2 linked regions of the Drosophila melanogaster genome follow. The protein of the gene in region 2 interacts with the protein of the main gene of each other region in a pairwise test. Each region holds a gene or a part of one and is shown on either strand. Other genes may lie near its edges. The genes, in order: scramb2 and CG1138.

Region 1 (5,087 bases), on a different chromosome or scaffold from region 2:
TCGAGGGCACCGCCGTGGTTAATAAGGAGATTGTGAAGCTATCATTGTCCCAGTATCTAGGGAAATATGTGGTGCTACTCTTCTACCCACTGGACTTGTAAGTTTACATTTACATTTAGTATGATCGCATTTCTCATTGCCATTTTAGCACCTTTGTATGCCCAACGGAGATCATTGCCTTCTCCGACCGCATCGCCGAGTTCAAGAAGATCAAGACCGAGGTGATTGGCGTCAGCGTGGACTCGCACTTCACCCACTTGGCCTGGATAAACACGCCGCGCAAGGAGGGCGGCCTGGGCGACGTGAAGATCCCACTGCTCTCCGATCTAACGCATAAGATCAGCAAGGACTACGGAGTCTACTTGGAGTCCAGCGGTCATGCGCTGCGCGGTCTCTTCATTATCGATCAGACCGGAGTGCTGCGACAGATCACCATGAATGATTTGCCCGTGGGACGCTCTGTGGACGAGACTATTCGTCTGGTTCAGGCCTTCCAGTATACGGACACCCATGGAGAGGTTTGCCCAGCAGGTTGGCGGCCAGGTGCCGATACGGTAGGTTTTTTGAAGCATTGCCTTAGGTAAATTCTTTTTGATACCATTACCTTTACAGATCGTTCCCAATCCTGAGGAGAAGACGAAGTACTTTGCCAAGAACAACTAGGGACAGATAGAGATGCACATTACCTTAGTAGCCTAGCCCAGTTACATTCCTAATGTTCACGACTGAATCACGATGCAAACGAACAATCGCTAGAGTCCTCTGTACAGAAAATCCAAATCCGCAATGCCACCGATTGTGAATATTTCGCATTTGCTTTGTACAAAACATAGTTTGTTTATTTTACAGCATAACTGAGATATAAATAAATTCATGAAGTACATGTGAAGGTGATGAAAATTGCGCGGCGCCACAGGAGCGGTACCAAAAAGGAGGAGATGTTTTCGATCTCAAAATGCCTTGAAAGCTGGCTCACTAGGCCACTCTAATGGGTAACAATTCGATTGCAATTAGTTTCATACAAAAATATATGTAATATGTAATATGTAGTAGGTAAAAGGTAATAGTAAATTAGTTAGGTACGCCATGGTTGCAATTAAGTTATCCTGTGCTCCGACCTATGCGTACAACAAAGCTAGGTCTGTCGAGGTATATAAATCTGGGGAAACGGGACGGGGGCGACGACAATAACTAGGACGTCATAAGGCACTCGTTCTCGTCGGATTCTTCGTGTGTAGTCTGCTTTCTGTTTTCCGTTTTGTGCGTTTGTCAGTAAGTGCTTCATTGTGGTGAGCTTTAAATGCCAAAACCGAGGTTCATAAAATAACGAAGGTGCAACTGCGGTTCAGATCCAAGTTGTGCGGGAGATTCCTTTGCTGCGGAGATTCCGTATCGATCAAAGCGTTGCACTGTTCAGATTCCCGGAAACGTTAATCAAATAAGGGGTTAAAAAGTTCTTAGAGCTATGACCATGCAACACGTCGAACCAAAAAGCAGTCGGCGATTATAATGTTTGGGCGTTTGTTCCTTTAGAATGCGATTCATCATACAGCCTACTGCTCGTAGTAAACCGCGTCCTGGAATTAAGACAAACACAAATCAATGAAGGGAAACGAGTATATAGCACTGGCATATGCTTTATTTCACTCAGTGATATATATGATATACTGATATACTCACAATCAAAAAGAGCGCTGCGAATATGAGCGCCTTCATGCGGACATCCAGATTCAGGGGGAAGGTGACGCTGAAGTAGTCCGCATCGGTGAACAGCTCCCTTCCCAGTCCGGACCATTGTTTGCTGATTTTGCCGATCTCCTCGTTGTTGGCGCTCAATACCTGTGCGCGGTTAAAGGGGCGAGAGATGTTTGCGTTTCGCATTAATCGGTTCGCAGTTCGCGGCATCGCAATTAATTGACTCGCTCTGGACAGTCAGGCATGGCTAACCATGACGTCACTGCCTCGGACTGCAGTCTCTTTGCTTCTGTACGATCACAGCAGCGGTCAGTAAAAGGGCTCATAGATCGGCACAAACACTTGGTGCATTTTAGCCATAAAAAGTATAAATTGATTGATTGATTTTCCTATATCTAGAGGCATCTGTTAAATAACGTATACAATTGAAAATTTAAAACTAGTGTGGGTGCTATTAATTTGAACGCTTCTGTCTGTTCATAATTATTTAGAATATATGTATATAGGCACTTATAAATGTTTAATAATTAAAAAAGCAATTAAGTGGACGCCTGATACTGTTCATTTTGGAATTTTATAAAGCTTCGTCTTTGACTGATGAAGACCATACATATGTACTCCTCCGAAGAATTTAAAGCTAATCCGCTGACCGCTGCTGTGTGTGTATACACTTGTTTGGGCATTGGGAATCGAGATCGAGAGCCAAGAATAACCACTTGTTGGCTGCGTACTGACCTTGAAGTTGGTATCGCTGAAGCACTTGCAGGGACAGACGGGTCCCTCGATCTGCAGGACGGTATCGCCGCATGTGTTCTTGATGTTGAACTTGGGCCGCATGAAGGTGCAGACCTGCTCAACGCTACCGATCACCTGGCCGGGTGGCGCCGACACCTCCACGGCGTTCATGCAGCTGGGAAAGCAGCAGAGGATGTCGCACTTGAAGGGCCGGTACAGGTGGAGCACCTCGTTCTGAAAATTGTCCAGTATCTTCATCTCGAAGGGGCGCGACCGGCCGAGCATGTTGCGGGTGCAGCAGTCGCTCTCCTCGTACGCGAAGTACACATTCTGGCCCAGTGAGTTCTTCACCTTGAAGCGGTTCTTCGTCTCGAAGCCGGTGAGCAGCTCCAGTTTCTCGATCTTCTGCGACACGAGCAACTGGTCCAGAGCGGTCAGGTATTCCAGTCCCTGCGGGCAGTTGGGCATGCCCACGGGTATCGACATCCAGTTTTCTGCAATGGGGCGTTGTTCCGGATTAGCTCCCTATGTATTTATATTTATCTATATGCATAAAGTGCTTTTCCGATATCTATGCATGGGTAAAGGAAATTAGCATAGCTACAATGGCGGTCAGGCGATTAGGGCCAGTGATAGCAGTTCTTAACATAAACTAATATTTTAAACAATATGTATTTACGTATTGACTTGGAATCACTTCACTTTTTGGTACATTATAAAATATCTTTTTTACATAGATAACTATGGGTGCTATTGCCATGCCCGCTGCTGTACTAAATGCCAAGAAAGAGACGACGGCATTTCCGCCTTTCGCACACGCCCACTAGCCCACACAGACGCGCGCAACCGACTAGGTCCATCCGAGTGATGGAATTCAACAGTGGACAAATCCATATATGTCCATCGCTACGCACCAGGTCCGTTGGCATTGTTGCCAACATTCGCCGCCTGCGGCTGCAGGACCACTGCGCCATTCTCGTCCTGCGGTGCATTCTGCGGGAGCACCTTGTACTCGCTCATCTGCATCATTGTTATTCCCAGCAATTAAATTCGTATCGGATTCTTTAACAGTTCACAAAACACTAAATGCAGGGTGACCGCGTTGCGAACGCCGAAAAATGCAACGCAAATGCACCGTACGAAATATTCTGTCATATATTTTGGTATTTATTCGAACACAGAAAAATATCAACAAAAAGCTTTCAGCACTCAATGCAGTGACAAGTTAAATTTGTTATGAGCTGACGTTTTTGTGGATTCATTTGTATTATTGCATTGTATTGCAATAGTTTCCTTAAGCTAGCCTCTTTAAGTTCTAAGAATTTTGAGTTTATTTGTGCCAGTTGGTATATTCGCGCCTGCCACCGACGGTAACACTGCGGCTATGATTGGATGATAAGCGATCCATAAAAGCCTGGACACAAAAGACCTGAAACATGCTGCTTGGCAGCCGAATCTCCAGTCGAAATGAGCGAATCTCTTGATAAGACCACCAGCCCGAGCTCGGCCAGTTCCAGGGCCACGCCCCCGGGAACGCAGGATGCGGATGAGGGCCACGACGTGAGCGATACCTTCTACACGAGCCAGCGCAAGAAGGGCAGCCACGTATTTCGGGTGCGCCTTGACGCCACAGGATTCACCCTGCAGCGGGAGTCGCCGGGCGGTAGCATTGTTAAGGAGCAACATGTCCGCATATCGGACATTGTGGGTGCCCGCTGCATGCGGCCCAAGAAGAGCCGGCGCCTGGCGATGTCGGGCGCCTGTGCGTGCAGCTCCGGTAATCCCAATTCGCCAGCCATCTCGGCGTCCGGCGATCACCATCGCCCTGCCACCACACCAAGCAAATGCAGCACCAATAGTCGGGATAATATTCCTTCGGATGGCGGCGATGTCAGCGCGTTTCTCTACGTTTTTGCCTATGTTCTGAAGAAGAGGAGCCTGCGGTCGGAGTTGCACCGGGAGCGAACGGTGCTCACTCTGCGCTTCCGGTCGTTCGACACCTTCGAGGACAACATGAGGGAGGCGGATCGTTGGTACAGATCCCTTCGCTGGCAGTTGCATCGCACGCTGGAGGAGATCTTTGTGGCGCCGACGGTGGATGAGCGACGCCGTCGAGTGCTTGTGCTGTTGAATCCCAAATCCGGTTCCGGTGACGCTCGTGAGGTCTTCAACATGCACGTGACGCCGGTGCTCAACGAGGCCGAGGTGCCCTACGACCTGTATGTAACCAAGCATTCCAACTTTGCCATCGAGTTCTTGAGCACCAGGTGCCTGGACGCCTGGTGCTGCGTGGTGGCTGTCGGCGGAGACGGTCTCTTCCACGAGATAGTCAATGGACTGCTGCAGCGCCAGGACTGGGCCCACGTCCTGCCTCATCTGGCACTGGGAATCATTCCTTGCGGCTCCGGAAATGGATTGGCCCGCTCCATTGCCCATTGTTACAAGTATGTTATCTTTGTTTCATGTTTCATTAGGAAAAACCCCCTTTTGACTTATGTGGATCTTCATATTTCGTGTAAAACAATCCCTCCAGCGTCTAGCCATGCAGTTTATCATTAGATTACATTCATAAGCAAAAGTAGTTTTCTTATCGTGTCAAATGGTTTTGTTGTTTTGCAAGTGGGGATATCCCCTTAAAGTTAAATTGACGTCAGACT
Region 2 (3,854 bases):
ATATATACGATTGCTGCTTATGAATGCAGAACAGTCGCTAAAAAGCCAACGAGTTGACTCGCTGCCAAGAGCAGCATTTAAATGAAAATGGCAAATTCATGCCACATAATGGTTAAACGACATCAGAAGAGCAACACGCAAAGCGTTTATTTTTTCTGAAATTCCAGGCACGCAAGGACAAGCAGCACACACTCAAAATTGTAAGGGAAAACTTGCAATTTATCCATCCGAGTTGCCTCCTGTCACCGGCACCAAGTTGTCCCACTCCTGCCTGGCCGATAACTCAATAGCGTAGCCCGGGGAGCATTGGCATAACTAAACTAATTTCTTTTAATTCAAACACAGCAACTCCGGCCCAACGGCTCTGTTGGACACTGATGGCCAAATGGCTGGGTGTGAAACTTTTATGTCGCCCCCTGCATGGACCTCCGCCCAGGTGGTCTTACCCACCTCCGGGCTCCTGCTTCCCATTGCCCAGTGCCCATTGCCCAATCCATTTCTCCCTGGCGGCAGCCCTGACCGACATTCGATGAATTGACCAACGCAGCTTGTTATTTTTCGTGTGCAACAGCGCGTTTTATTCGCTCCTGGAGGTTATGTGCCCCTCACCCCGTGGCATCTAGATTCAAATCAGAGATGGCACTTACCTATCCTAAGAAATCTTAAAAAAAAAGGTGAGCCAGCTTATTGTAAGCTACCGATTACCATCATTTACAATCAAATTATGAAACTGTCAATGATTTACCCTAATAAACATAAACAATTTTTATTAAGCCATTTAACTAATGGCTAGATTCGCGGAGTTTCATGGGTGATGTAGACATCCAAAACATGTAACATAAATTGGATTTGTCCTGTCTTTCCTGTATATTTATTGGTATTATTCAAGTTTGGTTTTCCTAGTAATAATCTTACAAACACAGGTTCTCTTTGGCATCACTAAGTGGTGGTGGCTTCCAAAGCCGAGTACAGTTCGCCTTTCTTTTATTTCTGGTCAAAACTTTTGCACTGTTTTCACCAGATTCCGCATTCGGGTAGTTGGACAGCTGACGTCTGTTTTTCACCTGCCAGGACCGCCCCACTCGGGCTCAGAATCGGATCCTCTATTTGTTTGCGTATGGGAATCGCCGGTGTCTGTCCATCTGTCTGTGTCAGTGTTTGTGTGCTCGTGAGTTTTGCGAGCAGGTGTGCGTGAGCTTTCGCTGACAATTGTGATTTTAGCAAAGGGTTTTAATTAGATTTCACTTCATTTTCCGCTGTCATTCAGTGAAAAGGAAAGCTTCTGCCTTCCGCAAAATCTATTCAATAATGTGAGCTTACCCATTGAGTGCACACTGCATCCAAACTCTTCTTACATTTTTGGAGTTCAGAGTGTCTAGAACCTGGCTTAAATAACAACATAAGTATGTATTTTCCTTATAATTGTATTTATATATAAATAAGTTTATGTTTTTGCTATTTTATTTGGGACAGTATAGTATCCCAACTTTTTCCGTCTTCATTTTGGTATTTTAAATTCACATTAAGCAGGCTTTTTGTTAGGATTTGAAATTCCGTGAATGGGAGTTGAGCAAATTTTTCAGTGGATTTTCTTGCCGATAACATTTTTATATATTGCGTATATATCTGCGTTGAAGACTGCATTAGTTGTAGTTAAAACTACAAATTAAGGGACGCTTTGAAAAAGGATATAATAATTGCACGTACCCAACTAAAAGATCGAACAAACCCATAGATAGATCGATATATACGATATTTTATCTAAGCCTTCATTGAGATTTGTGTTAGATGATTTGAAAACACTGGAAGTGCTCGTTGTGTACCGAGTTAGTTTCCGTTTTGAAGTTCACAGTTAATTGGATATTGGTTAATTTGGAGGAATGAATTCAAGATGAATTCATTACCAATACTGCAATCAGTGGACCAAAATTTATCGTGCAAGGCAGCAGGAATAAGTAAAATGGAAAACACTAAACCAAATGATAAGAAACTGGCACAATCAAAGTTCGCATTCAAACATAACGGGCCAAAAAAAGTGTTTCACTGCACGATGCAGAGTGTTTTGCAATCCGAAGATTGCTGGATCGCTGAGGAAGTTCTAGAAGAATCAAACGAGAAAAGCAATCTGGAACTCGAAGATATTTACGATGAGGTGTTTCGCTTAAAGCGGCGCGTAAATCGACTCAATTACCAACTAGGTACCAATATACCGGAATGCCCAAAAATAGATCCCTGCCTGGATGATCATATATTTTTGACAAATGTAAAGGAAGTTCATCCCGAAATTCTTCAGCTGAAGTTTGCAAGCCATAAACTACAGCACCAACTGACTCAGATGCAATCCGTCCGAAGATCATCCAATCTGGCCAAAAAACTGGTACGGGATGAATACTGCAGAAGCAAGAAATTAGGGGATCAGTTGCAGATTGAAATTCAAAAACTAGACTCCTTTAAGCTCAAATTCGAAAAACATCAAGGACTATGTCTTCAACGGTTTAGGTTCTTGGACCAAGATAAGTATACTGGCAGGGAGTTCTATGAATTTATAGAAAAAAGTAATGAGATGATAACAACTCAACTTAAAAAGCAGATGTTAAAGAGTGAATACAAACCTTTTCGGAAGGAAGCCGCTAGGGTGACAATCTCTTTAAAAACAGCCGCGGAAAATTTGCAAGATTATCTTTCAAGCGTGATAAATAACAAAAAATGTGAAATCTTCCAGAACGTGAAAAATTCCTGTGTATCCATTCGTTCAGACCTTTAATACTTTTATATTTTTTCGAACTCCGATTCGGCTTACTTCAAGGCGGCACCACGAGCCGCCCAAGCTCTTGTATCACCGGCACACAGACCTACTTAGCTCGTCCACAATAAACCCACAAAGCCCTCTTTAAATTGTTCAATTTGTCAGGATCCACGGGCCGGCCCTCCATATGCGAATTCCTTGATTATGTTGGTCATCGGAGGAGTCGCATCCACGGGACGGCATCTGCCACAAATGGTGGTACCCTAATGTACATTTGACTAGGAAGAGCATGTATTTTCTTACATGCGATGTGTTTCGGCATCCTGTAGGCCAAAAAAGAAAAATAATATAAAAATGTTATAATTTCTATATGTATATACATATATGTATATATATTTTGTACGCAACTGATATATGTAAGAAATTGTATCTATTACGTTTTAAATATATTTACATTAAATATCATTTCTTTCAATACTTTTTTTGCATTCTTACTACTTATTAAGGGTGAACTGTCCTCTTTAATTTGGGTCCATTTTTAAAAGAGCATCCCAATTCTGACGCCCAGGGTCAGGATTTTCTTTTGTCGCTTTCGGTTTTGGTGTTTGTATCTTTGGGTCCAACAACGAAATGTATTTAGCATAAAAATTTACGATAATGAGGACCAGAACAGCAGAGACACAGCGAGCGAGCATCGCCACCATGAGAAAAAAAGCACAAGCAGACAGCGCATCAAATTTCGCATAGGCAAATAGACAAATAACTGTGGTTTACCTCCCCTGGGAGGGGGGGGGGGTTGGTTGTTTAGGTGCTACGGGGGGCGGTTTGGGTTTAGTGTTCCACCAACATTTGTGGCCAGTTTCCAACGAGATGTGGTGCCACAGGTTCTCCGCAGTCAAGTGTCATTGCTCCGCTAATGTGCAAAGTTAAATTAATATTTACCACGAGGCTGTTGTTGCGCCTTGATTTCTTCGGTGGCATTTCGAAAATTGACGAATTTCAGTGCGGTCTAACCAGCATCAAAGTCAACTGCGCTGCTTTTTGGCAGAATACGCTTGTTTTCCGTCAGATTAGCAAAGTTTTTGCAGTCATTTATTTAAACTTTTCG

What was found.
Region 1: the proteins of CG1138 (region 2) and scramb2 interact in a two-hybrid assay, tested with the Drosophila melanogaster proteins (one large-scale study listed by BioGRID).

The regions. Positions count from the first base shown.
Region 1 is NT_037436.4:3,043,293-3,048,379, forward strand, and holds scramb2 (scramblase 2), read right to left. Parts: upstream 3,521-5,087; 5' UTR 3,460-3,520; coding exon 3,345-3,459; intron 2,925-3,344; coding exon 2,431-2,924; intron 1,840-2,430; coding exon 1,681-1,839; intron 1,578-1,680; coding exon 1,554-1,577; 3' UTR 821-1,553; downstream 1-820. Other genes in the region: Prx4 (peroxiredoxin 4), read left to right, coding at 1-97, 149-554, 613-663; Sk2 (sphingosine kinase 2), read left to right, coding at 3,898-4,874.
Region 2 is NT_033777.3:6,595,974-6,599,827, reverse strand, and holds CG1138 (uncharacterized protein), read left to right. Parts: upstream 1-1,805; 5' UTR 1,806-1,891; coding exon 1,892-2,764; 3' UTR 2,765-3,203; downstream 3,204-3,854.